Linked DNA regions of Oryzias latipes. The protein of the gene in region 1 purifies or fractionates together with the protein of each later gene. This does not show direct contact. Links are inferred from orthologs where the notes say so. Each region holds a gene or a part of one and is shown on either strand. Other genes may lie near its edges. The genes, in order: sec13, nup98 and nup85.

What was found.
Region 2: the proteins of sec13 (region 1) and nup98 purify together in Homo sapiens (affinity purification with mass spectrometry; 4 studies listed by BioGRID and IntAct, counting the BioPlex papers as one, with this or other methods). This does not show direct contact. The link is inferred for Oryzias latipes from reciprocal best matches to the Homo sapiens genes SEC13 and NUP98.
Region 3: the proteins of sec13 (region 1) and nup85 purify together in Homo sapiens (affinity purification with mass spectrometry; 5 studies listed by BioGRID and IntAct, counting the BioPlex papers as one, with this or other methods). This does not show direct contact. The link is inferred for Oryzias latipes from reciprocal best matches to the Homo sapiens genes SEC13 and NUP85.

What each region holds. Positions count from the first base shown.
Region 1 is NC_019863.2:32,814,961-32,820,494, reverse strand, and holds the start of sec13 (protein SEC13 homolog), read left to right. Parts: upstream 1-1,708; 5' UTR 1,709-1,855; coding exon 1,856-1,858; intron 1,859-2,060; coding exon 2,061-2,105; intron 2,106-3,411; coding exon 3,412-3,527; intron 3,528-3,742; coding exon 3,743-3,894; intron 3,895-4,390; coding exon 4,391-4,524; intron 4,525-4,621; coding exon 4,622-4,755; intron 4,756-5,530; coding exon 5,531-5,534. Other genes in the region: cullin-associated NEDD8-dissociated protein 1-like, read right to left, coding at 901-968. UniProt on the Homo sapiens protein: Functions as a component of the nuclear pore complex (NPC) and the COPII coat. At the endoplasmic reticulum, SEC13 is involved in the biogenesis of COPII-coated vesicles.
Region 2 is NC_019872.2:23,870,772-23,876,205, forward strand, and holds part of nup98 (nuclear pore complex protein Nup98-Nup96), read right to left. Parts: intron 5,290-5,434; coding exon 5,151-5,289; intron 4,575-5,150; coding exon 4,397-4,574; intron 3,685-4,396; coding exon 3,526-3,684; intron 2,853-3,525; coding exon 2,622-2,852; intron 2,143-2,621; coding exon 2,010-2,142; intron 1,938-2,009; coding exon 1,705-1,937; intron 1,628-1,704; coding exon 1,446-1,627; intron 706-1,445; coding exon 452-705; intron 377-451; coding exon 101-376; intron 1-100. UniProt on the Homo sapiens protein: Plays a role in the nuclear pore complex (NPC) assembly and/or maintenance. NUP98 and NUP96 are involved in the bidirectional transport across the NPC. May anchor NUP153 and TPR to the NPC.
Region 3 is NC_019866.2:13,019,965-13,025,498, reverse strand, and holds the start of nup85 (nuclear pore complex protein Nup85), read left to right. Parts: upstream 1-1,831; 5' UTR 1,832-2,514; coding exon 2,515-2,547; intron 2,548-4,524; coding exon 4,525-4,615; intron 4,616-4,690; coding exon 4,691-4,847; intron 4,848-5,040; coding exon 5,041-5,111; intron 5,112-5,198; coding exon 5,199-5,242; intron 5,243-5,534. Other genes in the region: sumo2 (small ubiquitin-related modifier 2), read right to left, coding at 1,591-1,611. UniProt on the Homo sapiens protein: Essential component of the nuclear pore complex (NPC) that seems to be required for NPC assembly and maintenance. As part of the NPC Nup107-160 subcomplex plays a role in RNA export and in tethering NUP96/Nup98 and NUP153 to the nucleus.

The DNA.
Region 1 (5,534 bases):
TCTGTCTGTCTGCCTGTCTGTCTGTCTTTCTTTCTTCCCCGGTCTCCAATGGAGGACCACTCCGGCCCACAGAACATTCATTGAGGCCCGATGCTCTCTGTCCTCATAATAAAACGCCTTATCTGCTCCACTTATGGATTCCTACAAAATAATATTAAAACACAGGACTAAGCTATCTCCTCACAAAGATCTTACTGTGTCGTTTTCTAGTTATTATACATAAACATGTTTGTTTGACGGGACATATTGTAGATGCTGTCATTTTTTAAGTTGAATTGTGACTTTGGTGCATAGATTTAGGCCATGATTAGTCTAACGTTTTATTCTAAAAATACTGTAGAAGTTGTCAACTTTTGGAGATGCCGCCTCTTGTTTTCATATTCTTTATTGAAGCTTCAGTTGTGATTTGATTTTAATAATTGAAATAGTTTGGATTCAAAAGCGTGACATAAACAAATCTTTACAAAGAAATCAACTAAAACAGTTTTAAAGGTTTCGTTCTGTACACAAACACCTGAGTTTAGGATTCGCTTCTTGTTGTACTTCTAAAGTTTGTGTTCAAGTTTCATGATGTGTGTGTAATGAAACTTTTACTTTCACTTCTTTGTCATTTGAATTTTGCACTTTTTAAATGTTAGTAAACTAAATACATCTGCATTTTCAGCAAAATGTAAAAAAAGAACCTTTTAATAACTGTCTTTTCTCCTCTGAGTCTCTGATCAGATTTTAAATTAAAATGTTCATTACTTTAACATTCACTGCTTTATATTCATTACTCAGAGTGTCTTAAACAAACGTTTTGACAAAAGAAATATCTACAATCGAATGACGAGTCAGAGTAAAAAGGGTCTCACTGTCAGAGCTGATGAGCAGCTGATGAGCAGCTGTCTCTTACTTTACCTGAAGTCTTTGTCAGTGGAGGTCATTTTCTCCAACAGGTTGGAGATGTGGTAGGACACGTTAGACATGATGGTTCTTTAACAGCTGACACGGACGCCGATAAATGCTAAATCTGTAGGAAAGCAATGGAACTGGGGAACCAGATTCACCCTGACAACATGGCGAGGCTGGTGGGCAGAAAGCGGAGCTAACCTTAAACCTGACACCCCCAGGGTCAGCTAAAAATACAGCACACTTATTCTGGTTTATGTCTCCCTCGTGTGGACAAACCGAGCATTACAGCCGAGTTCGTTTTGAAATCCTAAACCATGGACTGTAAAGAGAAGTTTTACAGTCTCTGTTTGCCATGAATTTGTTTGAATAACATACAAGGTTGTTTTGTAAATAGATTGTTTTCTGATTTATAACTTTATTTTTTAATTGGCTTTCATGTGTGTGAGTATTGTCCCAAATAAATTTAGATTGTTTAATGTGAAAATATACCTTTTGTTATTTTACAGGAAGATGTTTTGACTCTTCTTTCGTTGCATCAACTTTTTTTTTTTTTTTTTTTTTTTTTTTTTCCTCTTTCGGCTTTTCCCATCAGGGGTCGCCACAGCGAACAAGTCGCATGGTAAACTTGGCAATGTTTTACGCCGGATGCCCTTCCTGACGCAACCTTCTCAAAGCAACCGGGCTTGGGACCGGCACAGATAGACAGAGAGACAGATAGACAGAGAAGGGAACAGGGAGCAGCCCTGTCGTTGCATCAACAGGCTTTGTAAATGTAATTTTGCGTTGTTGTCGTGTAGGCGGAACTTACGTTTCGATTGCGTCACTTCCGCCGGAAGCAAGTCTCGGGCTCTGGAAGCGGTCTGCGGTACTTGTTGCCACGTCGGAGTAGTTTGTAAACCCGGTCGATTCATTGCTAAGCGACCAGAAAACTGTTGAAGGGTTTTTGGGTTAAACAGCAGCGATGGTTGGTTAAAATACTTTATAAAAATGGTTTTAGCATTTCTTAAAAACATCTTTAAAGTTTACGTTTGCCTGCTAAGACTCACAGTTAGCTAGCTCCCGTTAGCCGAAATACTAGCTGACGCGTTAGCACTGCAGATAAAAACAATGATGGTTATTTTTTTTATGAACAGGTCAAATAAAATTCTGCTGTTTCTAATCTATAGGTCTCCGTTATTAACACCGTGGACACCTCCCACGAGGACATGATTGTAAGTGTTTGACCTCCCACTATGCTATCCGTGGATGGATAATTACATTGAATTTGTTTAATATTGTTTCACACGTTTATCCGTTCTTACAATTAAACTTTTACTGTGGTTTGATTACTCTATTTTGGGGCTGTATCGTTATCGTTTGGAACTAATCATTAATATTGATTTATAATTACATTTATCCTTAGGTTTGTTTGTGGGGGAAACGTGTTTTTTCTGTCTGTCTTGTTGTTTTCTTGAAGTTCATCTTGTTCTTTGTGCTTTAATCTCTTTAGAAGAAATGACCCACTTTTATCAGAAAGGCTGGATTTTATTGTGATACTTGTTCCTGAATGATACCCTTAATGATTTTAGAGGGAAACGTTTGCCTAACACATGATCATAGAGACGGGCTTCATTTTAAACGAACATACAAGAAAGACAAACATGTTATCAACCTATCAGAGGTCACAGTGTTCTAAAAGTACGAACACATAACTTTTTGTTGACGAGTCCAGGGACATGCTGTAAAGGTTCATGTGTGTTGTTGTGTGTCTCTGTGATGCACGGGTGAAGTGTCCTGGGTGAACCCTGATGGGATAGGCTCCAGCAACCCTGTAATCCTGAGCGGGATGGATGAATTCCCTTCAACATCAAAATGTTTCATTCTTGATAGCATTGAGGCAGTTGTCTGTTGCATAAAAGCATCTAAATCAACCTCCAGCCCCTGATTTCACTGATGTGAGGATCCTCAATTAAAAATGATTTGTTCTAGTATTAAAAGCGCTGTGCTGTATACACTTAAACACTAGACACGCCTGGCAGTTGCATCCCATCTGCATTCATGCATCTGTAAATCTTCAGGTGAGTTGGATGGGAAGTGATGGCGTGTCTAAATACTCACACGTGTTGAAAAGTTCTCTTCATGTCTTTATTCTGGTTTTAGGAGTTAAATTCTCAGAAATCTTCCCTTTATCCAAATGTAACGACCTGCCTTTCTGCAGTGTTTCTTTCTACCTACTAGTACTAAAGACCTTTGACCTTCACACGCCGATGATGTCACCCTTTCAGCTGGAAGACCACCGCTCTCTAGGTGGTTTTTAAACAGCCTCTTCCTGATCCAGAGGTGCTGTAGATTCAAACGGCTGACATGAAAGGTTTAGATCCAGGAGTTCTGGATTTGTGCCTTCATTTAGTGCCAGTATAATGATTGACATAACCAGCATACGTGTTTCCCTTTCAATCTCAAAATGTCCATTTGAAACATCAGACACATAGAAATGGTTTCACTGGCTGTGAACACATACATGTTTCTGTGTTTCAGCATGACGCTCAGATGGATTATTACGGGACGCGACTCGCCACATGCTCCTCTGACCGCACTGTCAAGATCTTTGATGTCAGGAACGGAGGACAGATTCTAGTGGCAGACCTCCGAGGGTGAGTCATCCTCAGAAAAGTCTTAGTTATCCTCTGTTAAATGCAGTAAAGAACAGCAGGTGGGTGTTCTCCAAGAAGAATAACTTCTAGTTTAATGTTCTTTATGCTGGTATAATACACGCTGACAAATATCGTGAAACACAAACGGCTTTCATCGTGAAAAGTTCATTTCTACTCTGAACTCGCGTGTGAGAGATTTTGTGTTCTTCGTTCAGCCATGAAGGGCCCGTCTGGCAGGTGGCGTGGGCCCACCCCATGTTTGGGAACATCCTGGCCTCCTGCTCCTACGACCGGAAGGTCATCGTCTGGAAGGAGGAGAACGGAGCTTGGGACAAGATGTACGAGTACACGGGACACGAGTCCTCAGGTCAGTAAGGGAATGTTTCCCCTCATCCAGTGTTAGAACTCCAGCTCATTCCATTACAGCTACTCTGTAGGTGTTTATGGTAAATGCCATTTCTTATCCTATTCTCAGTGTTTGTAATTCCACACCAGAGTTAGATTGTGTTTGTTATCATTTTTACTGGTTGTTGTTTGTGTTGCTGTGGAACTTCAGCCGATCCGAAAGCAGGAGAGACGTTCTCCGTGCTTTTGACAGCGGAGACGCCGCCGGCGGCTCGTGCTCTTTGACGAAGCGTAAATCCTCGTCTGTTTCTGCGATCAGCAGGAATCAGCTGAACTGATCGCTTAAGGCCGCTATGCAACACTTCCTGCTTTTGTCTGCGACAGAATCGGCTGACCTCCGCTGATTATGCTGAAGAGCTAGTGGGTAGAATGTAAAAGAAGACCTTTGAAGAGTCACTGTGACCACGGTAAACGGCCGCGTCTTTGTGTTCATGGCGCTGCTGCTGTCGTGTTTGCAGTCAACTCTGTCTGCTGGGGTCCCTATGAGTTCGGCCTCATCCTGGCCTGCGGCAGCTCCGATGGAGCCATTTCCCTCCTCACCCTAACTGGAGATCAGCAGTGGGACGTGAAAAAGATCAGCAACGCACACACTGTGAGTCTGACCCACTACTGCTGGTCCACCGAGAAAGGCCGATTCTGCTCGGGTTGTCCTTTGTGTTTACGGGTCAGTGATCCGGTGTCTGCTGCAGATCGGCTGCAACGCTGTGAGTTGGGCTCCGGCTGTGGTTCCAGGCAGCTTGATAGATCAGCCGTCCGGACAGAAACCGAACTACGTCAAACGCTTCGTCTCCGGAGGCTGCGACAACCTGGTTAAACTCTGGAAGTAAGTTTGAGTTACGCCGGGCCAAAGGTCACAGATTCTGCAAGTTCTGGTCGGTAATGTTCATCAGAACTTCAGCTGCCAGAGACAGAAAGTAGAAAATGAATCCAGGAAATCAGGTGGATTTAGTTCTGAATCATTTATTTGAACAGTGGAGCAGACAATAAGGATTTATTTCCCCTAAACATGAACTCTGACCCCATAAACCCCATACCCACTGTCAAGCATGGTGGTGGAACCATCATGGTTTGGGACCGTCTTTTTACTAAAGGCCCAGGACGACTGATCCGTATGAAGGACAGCATGAATGGAGAGGTTTAGGTCAGAAACCTCCTTCCATCAGTGAGAACATTGAGGATCCTGATGGAGCGTCCAGTAGGATCCTCAAGGTTCCTCATCGCCATGGCAACCAAGGAGCAGGTCCATCAAACCTATTTCAGGTTATGGAGTCTTCCAGCCAGAATCTGGACCTCAGTCCAACAGAGAATCTGTGGAGGGAGATGAAAGTCCTACAGACCTACAGGAGACCTTTGACCTCCGTCACTGGGGTCACATGACAAAGTGTTGAGATGAACTTATTGATCGAATGCTCGTTTCTGCTCCGTGGTAGAACAAAATATTTCAAATCAAAGTGATTTCCTGGATCCTTTTCTGCATCCCGTCTCCCAGTTGAAGCTCTGATGAACATCAGACCGAACAGCTGTTCAGGTGGGATCACCTGCAGACTGACTGATGAGGAACTTTGATGTCCTCTCTGTCTGACCCGCTCCTCCTGCAGGGAG
Region 2 (5,434 bases), on another chromosome or scaffold:
TTGACCCTCAAAAACCACATCGGACGATGTCTATTCCTTAGTGCTCTTTCTGGCGGCGGTTCGTCTGTGGTTCTGGCTCTGCAGGTTCTGCTGAACTCACCTTCTTTCTGGGCGAGTCGACATGCCTCGCTGATTCGGTTTCCTGTCAGGTAACTGAAGATGGCGTCTGCGTGGCAACCCTTTCCTGCCACAGACACCTCCTCCTCCACCCTGTGGGTGGCGCCGGACGACAGCCAGGCGGAGAAGCTCCTCCTCCTGGCAAGTTGCTGCTCATACTGGCTGGGCATCTCAGCATCAGCTTCCACGTCTGCAGGGCCCAGGCGGCCCCACAGGGCCTCACACAGAGTCCAGACCTCAGCCCAGTGACCCAGGAGGGCTGCAGGGGGACAGAGGGTCAGATGGAGCATTGTAGGAGGCGGAGCCTTTCTACAGCTGTGACATTGTCACTCACGCTCTGCGCCGCCTTCTTTCTCCACCAGCTCTGTGATCCACTCGGCGTAAGCGTGCAGCGCGTCCACACCGGGCCGTGGCTTCACTAGAGGACAGTCGGACCCGTCTGGAACACTGACAGTGCTGTACTTCAGGCTGATTTCCAGGGGGCGTTGCAGCACGGTCTGGTCCTCGTCGTCCTCACTGGTCTTACCCTGAAGAGGATCTAGACCCACCAGCTGCTCAAGAACCACCTTGTACGGACTTTCTGTCAAACTGAAACCAAACATCAGGATTTGGAGTCACAAAGATGTCTTTGCTCTCTTCAGCGCTCTGTGGGAACCGGCGCCCTCCAGAAAAGACTATTTAATGTTTCCACAGTTTGGTGTTTTCTCCTGCTGTTATTTTCAGGTTAAAGCTACGTGGCGTGTGACCCAAATGTAGCCCATTACTAGCCCATGTTGCCACCTACAGTTGGAAGAGGCTTGTTGCAAAAAGTGGGCAAATCTGGTCAGTCTTGCTCCAGGCTTTTTCTTTCTTACATATCTGAAAGACTTGGCATCAGAATTCGGAGCAACCACAAACCACAATTATTAATTTCTCCTCTTCTGTGAATTAAAAAGGACATCAACCAAATTTGAAACCCTGGTTGGTCATATATGGTTATATTTTTAACGTTTGTTCGATGGTTTTGTATGTAAAGGCTGAAAACGGTCTTAAGCATGAACACAAGAGATTGGAACGCTGAAACGCGCATTTACGTGCGCTTACATAGACTTTTCTTTGGAGGTGGAGGCTTGATCACGCAATGCTGAGGGCGAGGTGAACACAGCTGAAGACTTCTCAGTTCAAACGAGAAAAATAGCTAAATCTATTCTGCATAAAGGAGTTTCTGCATTTTTGCTTGTCATTTCGACAGTTTCCCATAATGCTTAGCGTCAGCGTCGAACAGGATCAGGATTTGTGCACAGCAGTGAGTCGACAGCAGCTTAAAGATGAGGGACAAGCAGCCTTACGGTTTGGTCCGGGCAGCCTTTGGCAGGAAGCTGAAGTCGGCCAGGCACAGGTCTCTGCTTGCCCCTGGTTCAGATGTCGGAGAGCTGAGTCTGCTGCCGCAGTGGGCCAGCGTCCAGCCGGGACCCCAGCCCACCCTGAAGGAGCGGCCAGCAAATAGCCCCGCGTCCATCAGCAGGCCTCCCTGTACAGAGAAGACACAGATGACGCTCCTCCCCAGCACCTCCTCTTAGGCGTCCTCCATGAAGTACAGGTACCCACCTTCCCCTGAGTGACGGACTCTTTCAGAGGGACAGGTCCGTCCAAGCGGCGCACTCCGACCGTCCTGATTGGGGGCTCTGTCGTTCGAGGGGGGAGCATAAAAGAGGAGGGGCCCAGGCCTTTCCACTGCACTGAGCGGGGGGGTTCCGGTCCCACTGGAGACGCTCGAGGGGGAGGGCGGAGCGACTCAGAGAGCTGACCAGTAGAGAAGCGAGTCTGGAAGAGTCCACCAACTGCAGAGAGAAAAGGATCAGACCCAGGGCGCCAGCAGAACCAACCCTGGGAGGGCGGGGTGTAGCTCTTACCAGAGGGTCGACTCAGAGATGCTGGCATGGCGAGGCGTGGAGATGAGATGTCAGCGGAAACCTTCATCCCACCCTGATGCTGGAAAAGGTCTCCCTCATCTTCATCCTCAGCAAACAGAGATGCCTTCATGATCTGCAGACAAACATCCACCCTCAGAACAAACCCACCATGTCACCGTGGCAACAATCCCCCTGCTCCTCCTAGAAAACCGGTGAGTTTTTCCTTTGAACGGCAACATGATCTACGTAGTCATGGTAACCCATCATTCTGGCATTAATCTCCATGGGCGTCTGACGATGGCCTGTTTTTTGATGAAAAGGGGTTCAAATCATTGATTTCTGGATCCAGACTTTTATTAGTCAGCTCTGCTTCTTTTCCAGTGAGGAGGCGTCAGGCCAACAGCCCAACGTCCAGCTGACGCAGCAGCAGAAGAAAACTAATGAGTGAAGATAAACTACTTTGAACCAAAACTTGAGACCTGTTAATGCCGTTTCCTGATTATTGGTCAGGATAACGCTTTAGTCACATCTGGGTTCAAACCTGCGGCCTCTTTGGCACTAGAGCCAAAGGCGGACCGTGGGAGAGGCGTCCTGACCGGCCTGTGGCTGTACCTGCAGGGTGTGCGGGTTGATCCCCATGGAGGAGGCCAGGTGTGTGGATGCGGAGATGCTGTCGTGCTCCTCAGAGACCAAACCGCCGAGCTTTGGGCTGGTTCCATTCATGTCCCCCTGCAGCAGAGCGCCCTCCTCCTCACCTCCCAGCATGCTCTCTGGCAGGTTGCTCTGGGTGATGTCAGCCATGTCGCTGTCAAACTCCGCCACGCCACTCATGAGGTCAACAGACTGAACAGAAAGAAGGAGCGCGTGAGGAAAGCCGACCACGACAGAGCTGCTGGAGAACGCTGCGCTGGAGTTCAGTTAAAGGGAACCTGAAGGGGGGGGGTTCTGAAGGCCTGGTGTGGACACACCCACCACGATAAAAAGTTCAAATGCAGCACAGAAAAAATAAAATAAAACCCTTGGGAAACTGCTTCATGTCTCCATGGTTCAGATGACCCGGAAGAAAAACTGGAAAAACTCACAGAAGCTTTACGCTCCACAGGAACAAACTGGACAAAACAGTGACAATCGTCTTTTCAAACTTTATTCAAACATTGTTCATTGAAGTGGAAACCAGAACATTCCAGTCGGATCTTTGAGAAAGTTAAAACATTTTAAAGACAGCTTTGATATCACTTTTGTTCTAAAACTTATTAGGGACCCAAAAGACCTCCATGAATGGACCTTCAGAGATCACAGGTCTGAAACACTCACTGTCTCTTAAAGTCAAAATCCTGACCTGACATCTAAGAAGGTCCATCCCTCAACAGTTCAACCATCAGCAGAAACTCAGATCTGTGCAGCGTCTAAACGTCAGAGCAGTCTTTCTGTGATCTGTGCACTCTGCTTCAGAAACGACAAACCCGCTACAGGAGGAACATCAGACTCATCTGAACTCAGTGTCAGGCTGCTCTACCTGAGCCTGTGGCGCCACCTGCTGCTGGGACGGGGGGAGCAGCGGCTGCAGCTTGGAGGCAGGAAGTGACATCATCTTGAGTTTCTTGGGGTCTGCCTTAGGCGGGACGTCGTCGTCTTCATCGGAGTCTTGAAGGCCGTACTTGGAGAAATGGTTCACCTGAGGAAGAGGGAGGAGTCAGCGCCCGTGATGTTTGTTCAAACTGGTGTGTTCACCTAGATAACCCGCTCTCTGACATGAAGTTACACCTCGACTGTTTAAGAAATCAACTTAAACCAACGGAAAAGGGGCTAAAGCTGCGACAGAATCAGCTGATTCACAAAACTGCTTTTCTCCACTTCAGAATCTGCTGGAATAACGACAATTGCATAAACAGTTACTAGAGTCAAAATGTCAACCGTGGAGCTAATGCTCCAGTGTTAAAGGGTTAAACTGACTGCTTGTTTAAGGCCCCACATCATGCATTCAGTTCTTCCATCTTAAAGGTAAACCAGACATGTCCAAAGTCTGGCCCCTGGGTCAAATGTGGCCAACATTCTGCTGTCATTAAATCTACCAACAGAACTTCCTGATGCAGTGCTGCATCTTCTGCATGTTAAGACAGAGTCCAGGTGAGCTTTCAATCCTGCCAAAGCCAGAGAACCGTTAGAGGAAACTCAGATTTCATATTAGTGAATGGTTGGCAGTAAACGCCATCAGTACGTTTTTTTCCTTCTTAAGAATTCTTGATCAAGTCTTGACAAGGTTTCAAGACTCCCATTTTGTTAAAACCCCTGTGATGGTCAAATGTCCGGCAGAAACAGCTTTTCTCTTTCAAACTTTCAACACACGACAAAAATCATTGGGATGAACCATGGGGGGGGGGACTGACCTCAAATACCCAAGACCCACTCTCTGGTCTGTACTCTAGGAAGCGAGCGCCCTGTTTGCGGGACGCCTTCTCCAGCCGGCCCTCGTAGTTCATGTCCGCCAGGCGCTCGGGGCTCCTGATCTGAGTGCAGCTGGTTTTGTCGTTGGGCCAGACGCCGTCCAGAGTCACCTCGGCCCGTCTGCAGACGCAAACAGCAGGTTCAGGGAACATCAAAGCAGAGCACAAACTCAAACCTCGGTGCCTCAACTGACAGAGGAGTTCCTCAGGAGAACGCGGACTAGGGCTGCACGATTTGAGTGAAACTCGCAATTTCGGATATTATTGATTTTTACTGCGATGACGATACATGAAGAAATAGAAAAACATCTAAATACATCAATCCAATTTCACTGCAACAGTTTATTTCACGTAAGAGTCAACATCACTTAAATTTTAGTCCAAATGACCCTCGTCTACATAGGAGGCAGCATCTAACATACAGGGCTTCATCCAATTGGTCAAATGCATAGATGGATTTATTTGATTTGCTAAATCCTTCAAGCTCCCATAAGATTGTTTTAGCACATTTATTGTAACCATTTATTGCAATTTTGGCCGTCTTTTGCAATATGCATATTGCACAGCTTGATATGGTGATAACGATAATTTTGGGATTTATTTATCTTATTATTGTGCAGGCTTAATGTGGAGTTTGCAGGCATTTTACTCTGAAATCATCTTATCAGATTTTTTTTCTCAGCCTCCAGTCACTCACCTGTTAAGCCCCTCCCCCTCTGGTGGCTTGTTTTTGTCATCAGGATACACGATGACCTCTTTGCGTCTGAAGTGAACAACCTCGTCAAGGTTCAGGTTCGTCAAATTGACCTCCCCAGGGAAGAAGATGGAGCCGTAACCTGTGCCGGCCAAACAGAATTCAATTCAATTCAATTTTCTTTGTATAGCCAAAATTCACAACAACAGTCGTCTCGATGGGCTTTGTACCGGTAATTGAAAAAGTAAAACATAAAATCAAAAGGATCATGAATACATAGAATTCAA
Region 3 (5,534 bases), on another chromosome or scaffold:
AGAATAGGTCTGTTCTTTAGCTTCAACAGGTTGAAGTTTCTTAGTCACCCTGGCTGGAAGAACTTAGCCAAAGTCTGTTTCTCCTCCATTTTTGAGTATGTTCCTGAAATGACCATGACCTTCAACAAATTCACTAGTCTGTAGACTTCAGTTTGGTTGGGGTGCCACTGAATGGACGTCTTGGTCCTACTTCTTAAGTGTGTTCTTGATGGTGATGGAAGGAATTGACCTTTTGCTCTTCTCATCTTCTGAGGAGAGTCATCCCCTTCTGTTTTTCCTTAATGGGTTTGTGTCCAGGAGGTCTTTTCTCCTCCTTGGTGATGCAAGTTGGGTCACTTCTTCCAGAAGAGGCCATTTTTGCTTCAGTTGAAAAGCTGATGAGGGCTGTGGCCTTCTTCCCAAACTAACACCTGAAATTCTCCTGCAAACCTCTCAGCAGCAGCTTTGTCGGTCCTAGCTACCTCTCCGTGCAAGGCCACTCAAACAGCCTTGGATTCTTCTTCTTCTGTTTTAGCTCCTTCTGCATTTGTACTTCTTTATTTCTTCATACCCTGACTTTCTCGCAGATGAGCTCTGCCTCCGTCTGCCTCTCATCTTCATCTCTGAATAGTTTTCTGACCTCGTTGCTGTTCCCCCGTGGTCATACAGTTCGGCAGGACGCACCTTGAACGTCAGGTGCAGCTCGATGGTTTCTTTCTTTGTTTCAATGCTCAGAGCTTTTCTGACCATTAACACACCTATTGATAGGAACCATTTTTCTTGGGGTTCAACATTCAAAATTTAGAGACTAAGAAAAAAAATTAAGAAGACCTGTCCTCCAATTAAGAAGACCTTTAACTTAAGGAAACACGATCCAAGACACACAACAAGTCACACCTATGTACCTGGATTTAACCATTCTGTTGTACCAGAAAAAAGTTAATTTAATTTATTTATTTACAAAAAAGGTTCGTTTTGTGAGGCAAGTGGGTTGCAATGTTTATCATGCAGATTGTTTGTTCTATAGTTCTTTATGTTTGTCAGAGTGGAAAAATAAAAAGATAAAATACCAGAATTACCAGGGATAGAAACATAATTGTAGGCCGTATGAAAAACAGATGCTAAAAAACACGTATTCATTGTTAAATATTAGTTTCAAGTATTTGAATATTTTATTTTTGGTATCCAGTTGTTATAACCCGTTTTCTTCAACGAGTCAAGCCAAAGTGTTGCAGACTGACTAGAACAGTTTAGTCTAGAGACTAAATACAAACAGTTCGTTTTCTTGTTTATTTTTTCCATTCTGGTGCGTCATTACAAAACACAGACAACTTAATTACCACACAAACACAACGCAAGAAAACCGCAAGATTTATAGAGAACGACACCAGCTGGTTGGCGGGATGTAATCAGCCTAAAAGCGACGTGCGCGCCAGTCCATGCGCGCTCACATACCTTCCGGTCCATCAAAGTAGGTACAGTTGAATCTTATCACTTAACTTTTTTATTTAAAAAAATACGAACAGCACACGCGGGAATGTAAATTCACCTTTAAGATCGGCGATCCAGTTAATTTGTAATAGCATCGTAATTGACAATGGGGTCACTTACCTTTGGTTTTTCATCAGCCATCGTCACTCTTTTGGCGCTTCTCTATGCTACCACACAAAGAATATGAGTGCGCGCACGTACTCGTTCCCGTTTAAATTATTCGGGGAAACGTGCGCGGGCATGTGTCAATGCGCGTTCACTGAACAAGGATTTAATTGGCCGCATGAAGTCACGTGGACTAAAGCGCAGTCTAGTTATGGGCGGGAGACTACCGCCTGCGCGTTACAGAGATACTCGGCTTCACATGCACGCGCACGGCAGAATTTTTCCCTTTTGTTTTTGGTTTAGGTCTATTATATACGAAGGAAATCTGTTCATCGTCACGCCGAAGACTAGTATCAGTGCTGCACGTTTCATAAAGCGCCCATATGATCGGTATTAGATGTACAGCGTGATATATTAGTACTCTCCTTATTTTAACCCCTCATTATAGCCCAGTGGCCATCTTGGTTTTTCTTTCTTTTTTTGTTACAATAAAAAACAGGCACCGACTAAACGACAACATTTACCGATATGGCGATATATTTTCTAAGATAGCTAACTTATATAACGTTTTAATGTATATTAACAATATGATACGATTGTATCTTCCTGATTCTGAGAATATGTTACACGTTTTCGGAATAAAATTACTTCGACTTTTAAATGTATATCGATTCTAAAGATAGTGTTATTTGCTTCAGTCATGTCAGTTTTCTTGACGTAGATTAAAAGTAAAAGAAAGTACTGTACTTGCAAATTTAAAAAAACAAAAAACAAAACAGGCATTAAGTAGGACAGTCCTACATTTGACGCATGCGCGAGATAGTCGTAGAAAAAGAGAGGCGCGCAAGCGTTGCTATATTATAGCACGTGTTAAATGGCATGATTAAGGTGAAAAAGTTCATAGTTTGAAATTTAAAAGGATCTAAAAAGTTTCATCCGATGGAGGAGGTAGACGTTGAACCGACGATAACCGTAAGTCTTTCGTACTATGTAGTTTATTGTTATGCGCTATCGAATAGCAGCTAACAAGTTAGCTAAGCATTTTGAATTTTGTAAATCCTAAAATTCGGAATAAAAAAATACACTAGTAGTTAATGATACAAACACAAAAGTTTATGATGAAATGTTACGGACCGACATTACGAGTTGGAGGTTTCGTAGCTAAAACAATGTCACAGTTGACATGTTCTTGGATATAAAGAAACAAACTTGGAACAATGGTTAGAAAATCAAAATGTAACGTTATTTTTGTCTTCTACGTTTTGTTAAGTTATTTTGTGCTTTGTCAAACAAAGAAAGGTAAGTCTTTTCCTGGACATTTTTGAGTCCAGTCTCTGTCTTAATGTCAAGGTAAATAAATATCCTGTTGCATGTGTCCAATGGATTAAAACTAAGAAAGGCAAAAGAAAACCATAAGAGTGTTGGTTGTAACATTGCAACTAATAGGCAATAAATCGAATGTTGTTTGAAAGCCAGGACATTTTAAAATGATTTTATTTTATTTAAGCTTTGTTTAATAGGGACAGTGCACATTAATGAACATCTACCAAACAATGATTATAGGCGTAAACATGCTGGATTATAGCAATGATGCTAATTTGCATCCCTAGTCCCTAGGCAGGAAACATAAAACAGGACAAAACAAAAGACACAGTCACAGATACAATAAGAACACAAGAAAGTGGTACATTATGAGAGTTAAAAGTCAGTGGTTACAGGACTGGTTTGCTTTCAGCCACTGCTTGAGCTGTGTTTTGAAGGTCTGTAATTATTGACACTCCCTTATGTACAATGGAAGACTGTTCAAGAGTTTACTGGCCTTTACAGAAAGAGCGTTTTGTCCAAAGGCTGTTTTTCTGTGTGGAACCTCACAGTCCCCTCGAGACGAGGCCCTAGTCCTGAGAGCGCTGTGAGACCTTATTTAAAAAAAGTCAGACATGGGAGGCGGAGCAAGTCCATGTAACACCTTGTACATCAAACAAGCGAATTTAAAATTTTTAAAATTCTCAAAGCTCAACAACTTGTACTTTTTCAAGATATTACAAACATGGAATGACATTGGTTTTCTATCTAAGACCTTAAGTGATTGTTTTATAAAGTGATTCTATGGTTTTGCTCGTATTTACACCCGGCAAGGACCAACATGTAATACAGTATTCAATATGTGATAGAATCATTGAATGCAAAAACATTCTAGCAGCTCCAAGTGAATTTTTTTAATATGGCTCTTGAAGCTCAGAGTTGAATCAAGTGTCACACCAAGATACTTAAATTTAGATAGAATTTCTAGTTCCCGTTCTTCCAAAAATATACCTGAATGCTTGATGTCCACTGGTTGCTTAGTGAACATCATACAAACAGTTTTAGTTGTATTTAACAGTAAGCAAGATTTAGAAAGCCATTCATTTACAGGAACCAGAGCTGAGGTAAGAATAGAGGCTGCTTCTTGAATATTTTTTGCGCTAGTGAATATGACAGCATCATCAGCATACATTTGAAATTCAACATTACCACATGTGTTTGGCAGATCATTAATATACATAGAAAACAATAAAGGCCCAAGTATTGATCCCTGTGGTAGACCAACAGGGACATCTAAGAGAGTTGATTTGACACTGTTAATACAATCACACTGTTTTCTGAATTCTGGATATGATTTTATCCACTGAATTGAGTCCATAGAAAAGTTAGACAAAAGAATCTCATGATTCACCGTGTCAAATGCCTTATGATTGTAAAGAACGTACTTTTGCAGGATTTTCAGTAGATATTGATTGAAAGTCTTTTTTTTAAATATAAGGAAACAAAACTTAGTTAGATTGAATCCCAAAAAGCTTTGCTACAAGATAGAAATGGTCAAATAAGCACTTTAGTGATGTTCAATAATGTTCTATTGAATGTTGCAGAGATTATTACAATTGGAAATCTGTGTTATCACTCTCAATACAGAATATTCCTGCACTCAGAAGAGGAAAGCATATGGGCTTTGCATGGGGTCAAGGTAATATCTTTGTCTATGAGACCCTCTTCAAAGCAACAGGTATGTGTTAATTTCAGTTTCAATACTTTCGCAAGTCTTCTTGCTTTGTTTCCTTTCTATTGTCTTGTGTTTCAGGTGCAACAGGATCTGGTTCCCCCTTCATCCATGAAGTCCGGAAAGATGAAGACATCTACTCTCCTATTTTGCGCAAACTCTTTAACGAGTCGCATCACATTTTTGTTGGCTTGCAAACAATCAGGGAGGATCTGCCCAGCAAGAACAAGAAACCTCAGTAAGTCTCCTGATGAGAGACCGCTCAGCTTACACAAATAATTAGTTTTTATTGACATTTTCTTTTTAATTTTTTGATCAGTGGGATGACATAAAGATTGAAAAAGAAAACAGGCAAAACATCAACATGTAACTATTTCATGTCAAACAGTGTTAAAGTAAAAAAAAAAAACAATTCCTGTTTTGCTCTATAGGTTTGTCAGCATCAGTAAAAACTATAGATCTGTTATTCGAGCCTGTATGGAGGAGCTGCAGCAAGTTGCAGGTTAGCTTCTTTAAACTGAATCATGAAGTGTATCTTCGAATCCTACAGTGTAGTTTTTTATAATGGCATGTACTTTTTTGTTTGCAGTTTCCACAAAAAACGCAGAGATGTCCGTACAGTATGGAAACCAGGCACGTGTTTTTATTCTTTAGTTTCATCTTTTCCTTTTTAGAAATTGTGATTAGTTTAATTTTTTAACTTATTAACGTATAATAGTTTTTTTCCTCTTCTTTTTAATCTTTTTACTATTCGTAATATTTTTTTGTTTCCTCGGATGTGGATTTTAGTGGTCTGTAATAAATACAATTCAAATAATTTTGTGTATAATTTGTTCTTAGGAATTAAAAAATGTGTATTTTTTTTAATGATTTTTAAATCAACCAAGCAGACGTCGACTAGTTTTGATGTTATTTCAAACTGCAT